2 linked regions of the Coturnix japonica genome follow. The protein of the gene in region 2 interacts with the protein of the main gene of each other region in a pairwise test. Links are inferred from orthologs where the notes say so. Each region holds a gene or a part of one and is shown on either strand. Other genes may lie near its edges.

Region 1 (6,131 bases), on a different chromosome or scaffold from region 2:
TGGACGTACCGCTCCCGGCAGGGCCGTCCTCCCGACCCTCATCGTTAACACCGTTCAGACTACTCTCTTTTAGCGGCCCCAGACGTGCGCTTTGGTCCCCGACGGCAGAGCAAGCGCGGCCGCGCATCCCGCTGCCCATGGTTTAATCTCAAAGCGTACACCCCTCCCGGGACGGCTTTTCATCGTTGACCCCCCCCCGAGTCCCCCCCCCCCGAGCTGGGTGCGCTTCGGCCAGTCCTTCCGAGGGCAGAAAAGGGGCCGGGAGAGGCACGGCCGCACCGTCGGGGCCGCACGGCCGGGGAGAGGAGGGCGAATCCCGGCAGAACAGAGATGCAGGGGGAAAAAAACCGCCAATAACACTTTAATAGAGTTCTGTGGCAACCTGGCTAGTCGCTACCAGTATACACATTTATAAGCCATAAATAAAGCATACAGAAACGATAAATTAATCAGATCCAAGTAGTTTACTCTCCCGGTAACATCAAGCGTTTGTTTCAATTACAACAATCTATCCTGACTTGGTTTGTTGTATTTTTTTTTTCCTTTTTTTCTTTCTTTTTTTTTTTTTTTTCCCCTTCCCCTTTGTACAATTTTACAAGGCTTCCCATCCTCAGATCCCAAACTCGTATTGGGTTTCCCACCGAACGAGGGCTTCATTTTCTTTGCGTCCGTTTTTGTCTGCTTGGGGTTTGGTTATTTCTTTTTCCTCCCCTTTTCCTCATCACTTCCACACCAAAAAAATAGATATATTTCCACCTCCTTGCAACGACGACAACGAAAAAAATAAGAAACCAGCCCCAAGAGGAAAAACCCCTCTCCCTTACACCCCCCTCCCACCAAACCGAACCACCCCGCAAGGCAAACCGAGGGGACTGCAGGGTTAGGGTTAGGGGTGGCACGCGAGGTGCGCCCACTGCTCCCCAAGTGGATGCAACCACCTGGAGCCAGCAAGGAACAAAACAAAAGTAGATAGATAGCTATATGGGTAGGTACCGTGCTCAGCAGCGCTCACAGTCCATCGCGCTGCTAGGGGGATCGCGCGGGGTGAGGGGGTTTTTCCCCCTTTGCCTTTAGGAGGAGTTCATGATGGGCCGGGAATACACACCTTGGTAGTAAGAAGTCTCTCCGGCCAAAGGGGAGGACTCCAATGGGTTTTTGTTCGTTACCGGCCCCATGGCCAGGCTGGCGGGCACGGGTGAGGCGTAGCCCGAGTAGTGCATCACCTGCTCGTAGGCCTTGAGGTCCATTTTGTGCGAGGGGTGGTGGTGGTGGTGAGGGTGGTGGTGGTGCTGCTGCTCGGAGGACGACATCAGGTTGTTGATGGAGAACGGGTGGTTGAAGGCGTAGTGGTGCTCGGGCTTGAGGTGGGCGTCATGAGGAAGCCCGGCGTGTGGCGGGGCCAGCAGGTGCTGTGCTGGAGAGGCCGCTGATGGCTCCCCGGGGCTCGGCCCTGCCGCCGCACCCTTCAGCTCGGCCAGGGCGCGCTTGTGGTCCCGGCACGGTGAGGCGCTCGCTGGTGACTCAGCACCCGCTGAGCCCTCGGAGCCCCCCGAGGAGCTGCCCTCCCCTAGGGGTTGGCTGGGGGGCTGCCCCGGCCCCTTCTTGCCCCCACCGCCGTCCTTGGTCGCCAGCTGCTTCTCACACTTGAAGCGTTTCTGGCGCCGCAGGTAGCAGCCGTTTTCAAACATGTTGCCCGAGTCGGGGTGCAGCGTCCAGAAGGAGCCTTTGCCTGGCTTATCTGGGGAGCGGGGCACCTTGAGGAAGCAGTCGTTGAAGGAAAGTGAGTGGCGGATGCTGTTCTGCCAGCGCTGTTGGTTCTGGCGGTAGAAGGGGAAGAGGTCCATGATCCACTGGTAGATCTCGCTCAGGGTCAGCATCTTGTTGGGTGACTGCTGGATGGCCATGGTGATGAGCGAGATGTAGGAGTAAGGGGGCTTGGCGTGAGTGTAGCTCCGCCGGTACGTCTTGGGGTCCCGCGAGCGGTTGAGGTTGGATTGCCCATAGATGGGGCTCATAGAATTCATGTTGGTGTAAGGGGCCAGGGCGTTCATAGAGCCCGCTTGGCCTCCCATGGGGCTCATGCTGGGGCTCAGGTGGGCACCCATCCCTGCCACGCCAGCCGAGCCCATGCCGGCCATGGCCCCCGCACCTGGGGACATGCCGGCGAGTGAAGGGCTCATGCCCGTGTTGGCGTAGGACATGTTCATGGAGGTGGCTGCTGTCATGTTGGCTGTGGTGCTCATGGCCGACATGGTCATGTAGGTGTTCATGGTGTTCATGGAGCCCAGCCCCGAGTTCATGTTGCTCACCGAGGAGTAGCTCTGCATAGACAAACGAGAAAGATAAGGGAGATTTGGGGGGATTGGAAATGAAAGCAGTTCCCAAGTAAGGCACCCCCAGCCCAGCCCAAGGGAGTTCCTGAAGCTCTGGAGCTGCGGGGTGGGAAGGGTTAAACCCCCGGGGGGCATCGGCGGGAGATGGGGGGTGTTGAATCGCTCATTAACGGAAAAAAAAAAAAAAAGAAAGAAAAAAGAAAAAAAAAAAAAAGAAAAAAAAACCGAAAGAAAGAAAAGAAAGAAAGAAAAAAGCCCAAATTTAGATATTGAAAAAGTCGGGATCTCACCGAGCTCAGAGGATCCAAGCTGGAGGAAAAGAGACAATCCCGAGCAAAGAGAGAAAAATACCTCGGGTGGGGGGTGGGGGGGAGGGTAGGGGGAAAGGAAAAAACGCGACTCGCTGCCCGGCAGCCCCGCTCTCTCCCGGGGGCTGGGGGGGGCGGCCCCGCTGCCCCCGTCGCCCCCGCTGTCCCCCAGCCGCAGTTCAGCGCCTCGAGAATATTTAGCGACAAAGTTGAGGTTTCCCCCCAGTATCCCGGCGCGGGGATCGGGCCGCCCGGCTTCCAACACCCCCCCCACCCCCTTACCTCGGGCTCCCCGTAGTAGTTGCTCCAGTCCGTGTGCTCATGGCCTTCCATTTTCACCGCTCCCAGCATACTGGAAGTGGAGTGCATGGCAGTTTAAAATTTAACAGACACAACAAACGACGACGCAGAGAGAGAGAGAGAGCAATCCCCCCCCCCAAAAAAAAAAAAAAATCGCCAGCCCTCCCTCCCCTCTGCCGCGCTCCCTCCGTCGGAGCCGCTGGAGGAGGAGGAAGAGGAGGGAGGGAGGAAGGGAGGGGGCACCGCCGGGGCCGGGGTTTTTTTTCGCCGCCGCTCCTTGGGTGGGTTTCCGCAGAGCTTCGCGGTGAAGAGTCGCCCGGAGGCGATGGAGGAGCCGGAGGAGGAGGAGGAGGAGGAGGAGGAGGAGGAGGGAGGAGGGAGGAGGGAGGAAGAAGAGGAGGAGGGAGGAAGAGGAGTACAAGTGCTGCAGTGACGTGGGTGCCCGAGTGATATAGCACGGAGCGGCCAGGCGAGCCTCCAATCCCCAGGTCCTCGGCTGCCCATTTGAATAATCAGCTCACACCTAGGCGGGAGCGGCTGCTCCGCGGCTCCCGACCCGCACCCCGGAGCGACTCCCGGAACCACCCCGCGTCTCCCCCCGCACCCCCCCTCAACAGGAGGGCTCCTACGGGACCCCCATTCCAGCCGCACTCCGATGGAAGGTGTCCCCTCGCAAAGCCCAAACAGAGCGGTGCCCCGATCCCCCTCCGACGGCCGCAGCCCCCCGAGCCACACTCACCTTTCTCCCCGCGGCTGCTCAGCCTCAGGCCACCTTCCTCCCGGCCGTGGCCCGGCTCTGCCTCATGCCTTCCCGCGGCTCTGCCTCAGGTACCTACAACAATTTCGTAACTAAAACAAACAGGAAGGGCAGGGGAAGGCGGGAGCTGGGAGAGGGGAGCGCGGCGGGGCCGGGCTCAGCGCCGTCGGGGAACACGCAGCCAGAGCGGGGCCCGATGGGCGCCGTCGGGGAAGCGTCGCTCCGCACCCACGGACGGATCCACGGACGCTGCTCGAGTGTAGCCGTCGGGGAGCGGCTGCCTCCGTCCCTCCCTCCTTCCTTCTCTCCTTCCCTCCTTCCAGGGAGGAAGCGCAGCCCCCTGGGGTGTCCGACACCTCCCGGCCCCGCAGTGTTGCCTCCCCCCCCGCCCAGTGGGGGACACGGAGCTGCCGCCCTCCCCGTGCCGTGCGCCCTGTACCTACCTGCCCGGGCGCCAGGCGGGGCGGCGCGGCACCGACCTTTTCCCTCGGTTATTTATTTGGGTTCTCTCCCGGCATTAACCCCAGCACAGCTTGGCGAGGTTAACGGGAGCTTTTAAACATTAACACAAACCCAACAGCCGGGGGGCTTCGCCGGAGGGCTTTTCCCTTCGCCCCAACGCCTTCGGGAGCCGTCTCCAAACGAAACTGGCTCCTATCGCGATAGCTGCGGGGATAGAAGCAGCCCGCCTCCTCCCGCCCATATTTAGGGGAGATGAGGGCTGGCTGGAGGAGAAGGGAGAGACCCCAGGGGAGCTGCCCTCAGGGCGGGGACGCGCCGGGAAAAGGGGGATTTGCCCCCAAAAAAGGGGGGGTGGGGTGGAGGGGTGGGAGGCCGGGCAGGGCTGTCCCGAGGTCTAAGAGCGGTGGCGCGGCGCCCCCTGTCGCCTGCTGTCCCCGGTACCGGAGGGCCGGGGGTGGAGGGGCACCCCGCCTGTCCCCCGCCTGTACCCGGGGGTCCCCCCGACGGCGGAGGTCACCCTCCAGTGCATCACTTGGGAGCATCACCAGCGATCATATGTGATGGGTAAGGCCGAGTCTTCCCGCTGTACCAGCACCGTGTGGTCCTAAATGTGAGCCCCGTTGGCATCCCGTGGGGTCTTCCACATCCCATCCCTTATTTCACTAGTCAAACTGTGATGCCGCTACCCTTGGGCAGCCCAATAAAATCAACACCTTAAGAGAAGAGGGAAGGAAGCAGTGAAGAAGATAGTCTTGCCTTGTAGAGAAACATCTTTTTAAATACCCCAGATGATCGAAATTGAAAATGTTCAGCCTCTTCTTGTTTAAACAGACCCACTTGGGCTCCAGAGAAATGCGGCGGCCATTTAAAAAATGACTTCTTCTCTTTAATATTTAAGTAATATTTATTTTAAATTTAATTTTTAAATTACGTTTCTATTTGCATTGGGAGCCATGCCTGGAAGAGCTGGTGTTCCCTTCCTGGAGGCAAGAGACAGTGGCTGGGCCACCATGGGCAGTATCTGCCACCATTCTGGGCCACCTCCACTGCTGGTGACAAGCACATCTCCTGCTCTTCTTGCTGGGTGAAGGCATTTATCTGCAAAGGAGAATAAAAAATCACCCCCCTTTCACCTCTCCCTATTACAACTGTACCTTATTCTTGACAACAAACAGAGTAATTATCTCTCTTCTACTGATAATTATCATAATTAATCCAATATAATGAACTCTCCCAATTGCCCTGTTGTTTCAAACTAAATGCGTCCGTTGTTTTTTCCCCTGTAGCTGAGGAACTGCAAGACAGGAGCACTCAATGCCCACAGAAGCATTTTAATAACAGGATGGAGAAGGAGCTCACATCACGTCTGTGGATGGTGGCATTTTCCCCCATGAGATCCCTGGAAGTAACCAAAGGACTCTGTGGGGCTGAGGGCATCTCAAGTAGCTCACACTCAGGCAGGCAGAACAGACCTTGGGGTCACTGTTAGTGCCATATTTCTGTTCCCATGATCAGCACTGTAGGGCTGGATGTGAGCAGGGGCTGCTCATGGGGTCCCTATGGAGAGGGACAGAAAGTCACAGAACTATCTGAGTTGGAAGGGATTGTTGAAGGCCATCCATTCCAACCCCCTGCAGTGCCCAGGGACACCCACAGCTCCATCAGTGCTCACAGCCCCATCCAGCCTGACCTTGGCTGTCTGCAGGGATGGGGCACCACCACCTCTCTGTGCAGCCTGTGCCATTGCCTCACCCACCCGTATGGTAAAAAATTTCTTCCATATATCCAGCCTAAATCTCACCTCTTTTAGTTTGAAACCATTTCCCTTTGACCTATCATTTCTGTGGGCCATGGCAGGAGCCGATCTTCTTCGCTCACTCAAGGACTCAGATAGGAGCATAGAAATCAATTACATCCCATACTGTAGGGATCCTCCCGTCTCATTGAGTTACCCACCCAACGATGTTGGCC
Region 2 (5,450 bases):
CCTTTTACCTACAGTAATAGCTAAGTGAGTAGGGATGGACAAAACAAGACGTTCTCTCCCAACATGCTTCTGCTAGAAGTACTTATATTCCAAGAGAAAACCATGAACCTATGAAGTACCCATATTCACAACACTAAGCATCACATACACAGACAGGCATGTTAGCGTGAAGCATGCCCTGGAGCTGAAGAGTCCACAAGCTGCATGCAGCCACACTCTGTATCTGCTGGCAGCAATCACTGACCTATGCAGTCACAGTGCATGGCTCAGAAGCAGCTTCAGGCTCCCACCAGTAGCTCTGCTGGCTTTGTGCTGTATGGGTACATCAGCTAGGAGATGTCTGAGAGAGTTACACTGCAGGGTACTCACAGATTTGTCTACGGCTTAAAAACACTACTTCACAGGCTCTTTTTATATGCTGCAATTCCACTAAACTGTTACGTCCAGAATGAATATGAAGACCAAATAAACCAGAGAGAAACTCTGAACCAAACACGCTTCTTCCATTTGAATGCTATACTCAAGAGAAAATTCTTACTTTAAGAAGTGCATATGCAGTTCAGGATTTCCACATTTTCATGTAACAATTTTTCCAGTTTAAGAAAGTAGTCCCATCTACAGAACATAACAAGCTTAAGACCAATCTTGCAAACTCACAAGTGGATAGGTCTGTGCACATATTTGTGGGATCAGGCTCCCAGGTTGTTCTGATCAATAGCAGCAATGACAGCTATGCTGCATTTAGTGACTACATCCACAACAGCAACTACTTGTAACACACCTTATCACAGAGCTTTAAGATTCTTCATGATAATTTACTCAAAAAGAACACAATACAAGGAGAGAGAAGTAGATTAAAAAAAAGACTTTTACACACTTTGAAATTAATTTGGTGTGTCTGTACAGATCACAAATCTTGTACAGCAAAAGAAAAGCAGATGTTCACAGCACCAGTGAAGACATTTGTATCTATTGAAACTGTTTTTTTCATTTAAAGAATAAGAAAACAGTTTGGCATTTATTAATTAGACAAAGCACTGATGAGAAAAAAAGAAACATACACCAGTACACTGAGATTCTTTGTTCTCAAGGTAGAAATTTGTTTCTCCATCCACAAAGTAAAGTGAAACACACAGTGAAGCAGCCAAGCCTCTGGCGCTGTTATAACTTGGGAATTCAACTGTGCTAAATGAAGCATGTAGCTTTCTTTAGTGACCTGCAACTCACACAACTGAGATTGCATGCAATATGTGGCCTACCATAGGAGATCTTCCATAGGCAACCACGGCAGCTGCTGCGGCAGCCGCACTCATCTGGGGTGACATGTTGTGCAGGCTGGCGTATGCTGCCCCTGGACTGGTTAGTTCTCCATTCATGCCAGCATGAGGCACCATTCCAAATGGAGCAGGGTATGGCCCTTGTACAGCCAAAGGTGTGCGCAAACCTGCAGCTGTGGAACAATGAAAGCAAGTAGTTTTATTGGATCTCCCTGCACACAGGGCAAAAGACCTTTTATTTCAGCTTATAGTACATAACCTTCCCCTTACAAACATGCACACACAGAGCTAAGAAACATTCCCATAATTTATCACTAGTACCACCTCTTTTCAATCACTGTAAATAAGCTTTACTGAGATCTGAATTCAGTGATTACTTCTAACAACCTCTTCTAGCATTGCCCATTTCCATTTCTGTAATATTTCCCTGTTTACATTAATCTCTCCTTTGCCAAATTAAGCACTAAAGCTGACAGACATGGTTTACATAGCTCATGTCTGAAGGAACTCTGCTGTACCAGCCTGAATAGCAAAAGTAAACTTCCCTCTGCATTTGTCAAGATTTACACTGCAGCAAATATTAGTAGATTCAAACAAAGAGCTGGAAAAGCAATTGCATTCAGACTAAGTACTAGAAGCTTCTCAGAAATCTTTCACTACATGCAGTCTCCAGACTATTTCCAAAAAGATAAAGAACAAAGTAAACAAAGAATAACGAAAGATAGAAAGACATTCAAACTCTTGATAATCCAGACATCTGCATTTCATCAGGTCCTCTCTTCGCATCAAGAAAAAAGCTCTTGGTTAACATTTGCATGGAAATGCATATTTAAATAAGATACTAATCTTAGAATCATAAAAACTTGAGAGGTAATGCATTACCAGCCTGGTTAACCAGAGGGTCCATTGTTGGAGGCTTGCCAAGGCCTGGACGAAGTCCTGGAGTTGCACTAGTGCCTGGAGTTGGCACATCACTTCGAGGAGTCGGTGTGCTAGATTTCAGAACAGGCGTGCTGGCTTTTTCATGCTAGTATCATAAAACAAAATAAATTAGTATTATTTTTAATCCAAGCCATATTACGCAATTTATCACAACAGCAGCTGGGATGCTGGGCACCTACTACCTAGTCCCTCAGCCAATTTTCATAAATCCATGCAATGCTGACAACATTAACTTGCGAAGAAAAAAAATGCTGACCTTTTGATTTCTGCCAGAAATAGGGATGAACAAAAAAAAAAAAGAAAGCTAAGACACGTTATTTCTTTCTTCCACTGACAAAAAAAAAAAAAAAAAAGAGAGAGATTTTATTTTTTTTCAGGACAGCACAGTATGCATCACCACTTTATTTTAGTGAGAAATCATGATTACTGGACACCGTGAATCAAAGAATCAAAATACAGTGACATAAAATCTTATCAAGTTAGTTATTCCTTGAAAAATTTATCAGCAGCAGTTCATTTAGAAGAATTTAATAAAAGCCTGGCGAACATCTTGGTGACTACATTCAGATCTATTAAAAAACAATAATGTTTTTAAGTTAATCTTATGTTTTCTAATAAATTCACAGCTTATTTGATAGAAATGCGGGAGATACAGGAAATCATCCTGAAGAAGAAATTATTCCTGAGGAAAAAAGCTCAATGGTACTGGAGTGGTGTAGAAGAACAGTACTTCAGATTCTTCAACCCGTACACTTTCTGTAAAAAAGCAGTTGCTGAAGAATGGAGAGTTAGACCTTGAAGGAAAAAGAACATTTCCTAGAGAACAGGCTGCTTATAATACTCACCAAACTCATTTCTTTGGATTTGAGAGAAGTGGAACTTCCTGAAGAGGCTGTAGATGCTGGACTGCTAGAAGCATCTTTCTTCAGCAAGCGGCTTTTATCTATACCATTTTCACGTGGTGAATGAGTAGGACTTGCCCGTGGAGATGAAGGATCCTAAAAGAATGGAAAGGACAAGCAGCAAAGAACCGTTAAGAGCTGGTACTCAACACAAACTAAATCAGTCTGGGAAAAAAAAACCCAAGAACTCAAACAGTATATCAGAATGAAGCAGTAGTTTGCTTTCCATATCTACAGAAACAAACAAAAAAAGCCCTTAATTCCTTTCATCAATTATAGACATAAGTAAGTGCAATCTGGACTCATTCTACACTACATAAACCATAAACACATATCATAAATTGATTCCAAGTGCAGAACTTGCCTTAGTTTGTACTTAGGTTTACACAGATCACAGGCATACATTACAACTGATATGAAAAGACCTACAATAATTGCAATGAGCTGGTACTCCTTCTGCATGTGTTCTTTATGTGCTGCTAGTGAAAATGATCATTTCAATAGGAATACATTCATTTAATTTCATTTTTTAGGGAATACACACCTTGCTCATCTCTTTCTTCAGAAAACAAGAGAGATGCAGATTTTACATAAAAGTATATAAATTATATCTATAGAGTTTATCCTAAATTGCATTACTTCACTACTTAAATCTACATAAAAACTGCAATGATCTCTCAAGTGATTTTCCCTCTGTCTTACAGAGGCACTTTCTGCATTTAGTCTATTCAAAAACAGGCTGCCCAGCAAGCTACCATCAGCTCTGTAGGTTCTTCAAGGTCCTCTGGTTCATCAGCATAGCAGCAGGAATTAAGCAGTCCACACTAGAAGGCAATCAGTCCACTGGCTGATCACTGAGCAGTTTCATTTTAACCAGGACTTCTGAAATGACTGCTGAAATTATTAACAGGATACACATTTTTCTACCTGGATGAAATCATTTGAACTTTTGGAGCTACTCTAGACATTCCCTCCAGTATTTTTTCCTGTGCTTTTCACAGTGTAGAAATTTTTCCAGCATGGTCAGGAATACATATTTTTGTTGTGTGAAATAAAAGACAAAGGAATGGAAAAAGACAGTTCCTGACTGCACAGCCAAATCTCAGTCTTGGAGGAAAAAAACAAACAAACAAAAACCAAAGTGGCTACTGCCACTAGGAAATGCTGCAGACTGATTTCATTCTGATTTTCACTGAATTTATCCTAATATGCCTGTATGGAAAACACTGCTTTCAGAGTAAGCAGTCAAAATACCAGTGATTTTGGGGGGGTTTCAATGCCATTCCTACTATTAAATATTAGAATACTTATTCTTTTCCATTTTCCCTTGAAGACAGCAGTTTGCAAACTTCAGCCACCTGCATTTCACCACAATTTTCTCCCCTACAGAACAGCTGTGAAATGTTAGAAAATAACTGCAGAGAGAAGAGACCTAGATAAAGCAGGGGAAGGAAGAGCTAGGAGCACAGACAGGTAAAGCTAGGAGGAAGACATAGTGAATAACGAAACTAACAGAAAGGACGACTGTTCCATATTTTTACTATATTCCACTGTTTTTTGGCTGTTCATTTTTTAATCTAAAAGCATTTTTTCTTCAGCATTTGTGTCAATATTAAAACAATAATAATTTTTTAAAAAGTTACCTCATTGGATACATCAACAACCAAGTTATCATCACTCTTGTCCCCATCACTGTCCTATCAAAACGAAATAAATAATTCAATTAGTACATTAAGAGTTAAGAAGGGGAAGAGAGAACAAGAAAGAGGTGTTATCTACTCCAGTATTTTTTGCTTTTAATAGAGAAAAACAAACAGACTTTCATTACTTATTGGCATTACAGCAAATACCGAAAATAGGAATGTAACACTTTTGCTTCAGTAATAAAATCTAAATAAAGTAGAACTATTTGAATGGTGGTGGTCTCATTGTAAGTGCAAGAGGATCCAAAACTCTCCTCTACTACTATAATTACTCCAAAATAAATAAATAAATAGATAAATAAAAGAAGAAACTCATTCACGTGCTAATCCTATCTTTCAATATGTATGTTGCTCCAAAAGCAATGCCTCCTATTTATTTCCGTGGAAACAGAAACAATTACAACAGATACAAAGAGTACAACACTGTTTGATAACTCTATATGATATGTATGATAACATTCTCAGCTACGTAACACTATTTTTCAACACAGTCACCACCATCTGCCAATTTCCTCAGATGAGCTGTTGAAAATACACATTTTGTGATATGACAACTGTGCATGGTTGTCTAATATAGGCTTCTTTTTCATGCTGCTGTTGCTGCCAATGCTGAAACACCATCCATC

What was found. The genes of interacting proteins can lie anywhere in the genome.
Region 1: the proteins of TLE1 (region 2) and FOXA2 interact in a two-hybrid assay, tested with the Homo sapiens proteins (2 studies listed by BioGRID and IntAct). The link is inferred for Coturnix japonica from reciprocal best matches to the Homo sapiens genes TLE1 and FOXA2.

The regions. Positions count from the first base shown.
Region 1 is NC_029518.1:4,400,300-4,406,430, forward strand, and holds FOXA2 (hepatocyte nuclear factor 3-beta), read right to left. Parts: upstream 3,501-6,131; 5' UTR 3,011-3,500; coding exon 2,924-3,010; intron 2,322-2,923; coding exon 1,071-2,321; 3' UTR 341-1,070; downstream 1-340. UniProt on the Homo sapiens protein: Transcription factor that is involved in embryonic development, establishment of tissue-specific gene expression and regulation of gene expression in differentiated tissues.
Region 2 is NC_029547.1:35,437,144-35,442,593, forward strand, and holds part of TLE1 (transducin-like enhancer protein 1), read right to left. Parts: intron 4,819-5,450; coding exon 4,765-4,818; intron 3,218-4,764; coding exon 3,065-3,217; intron 2,305-3,064; coding exon 2,160-2,304; intron 1,451-2,159; coding exon 1,260-1,450; intron 1-1,259. UniProt on the Homo sapiens protein: Transcriptional corepressor that binds to a number of transcription factors. Inhibits NF-kappa-B-regulated gene expression. Inhibits the transcriptional activation mediated by FOXA2, and by CTNNB1 and TCF family members in Wnt signaling.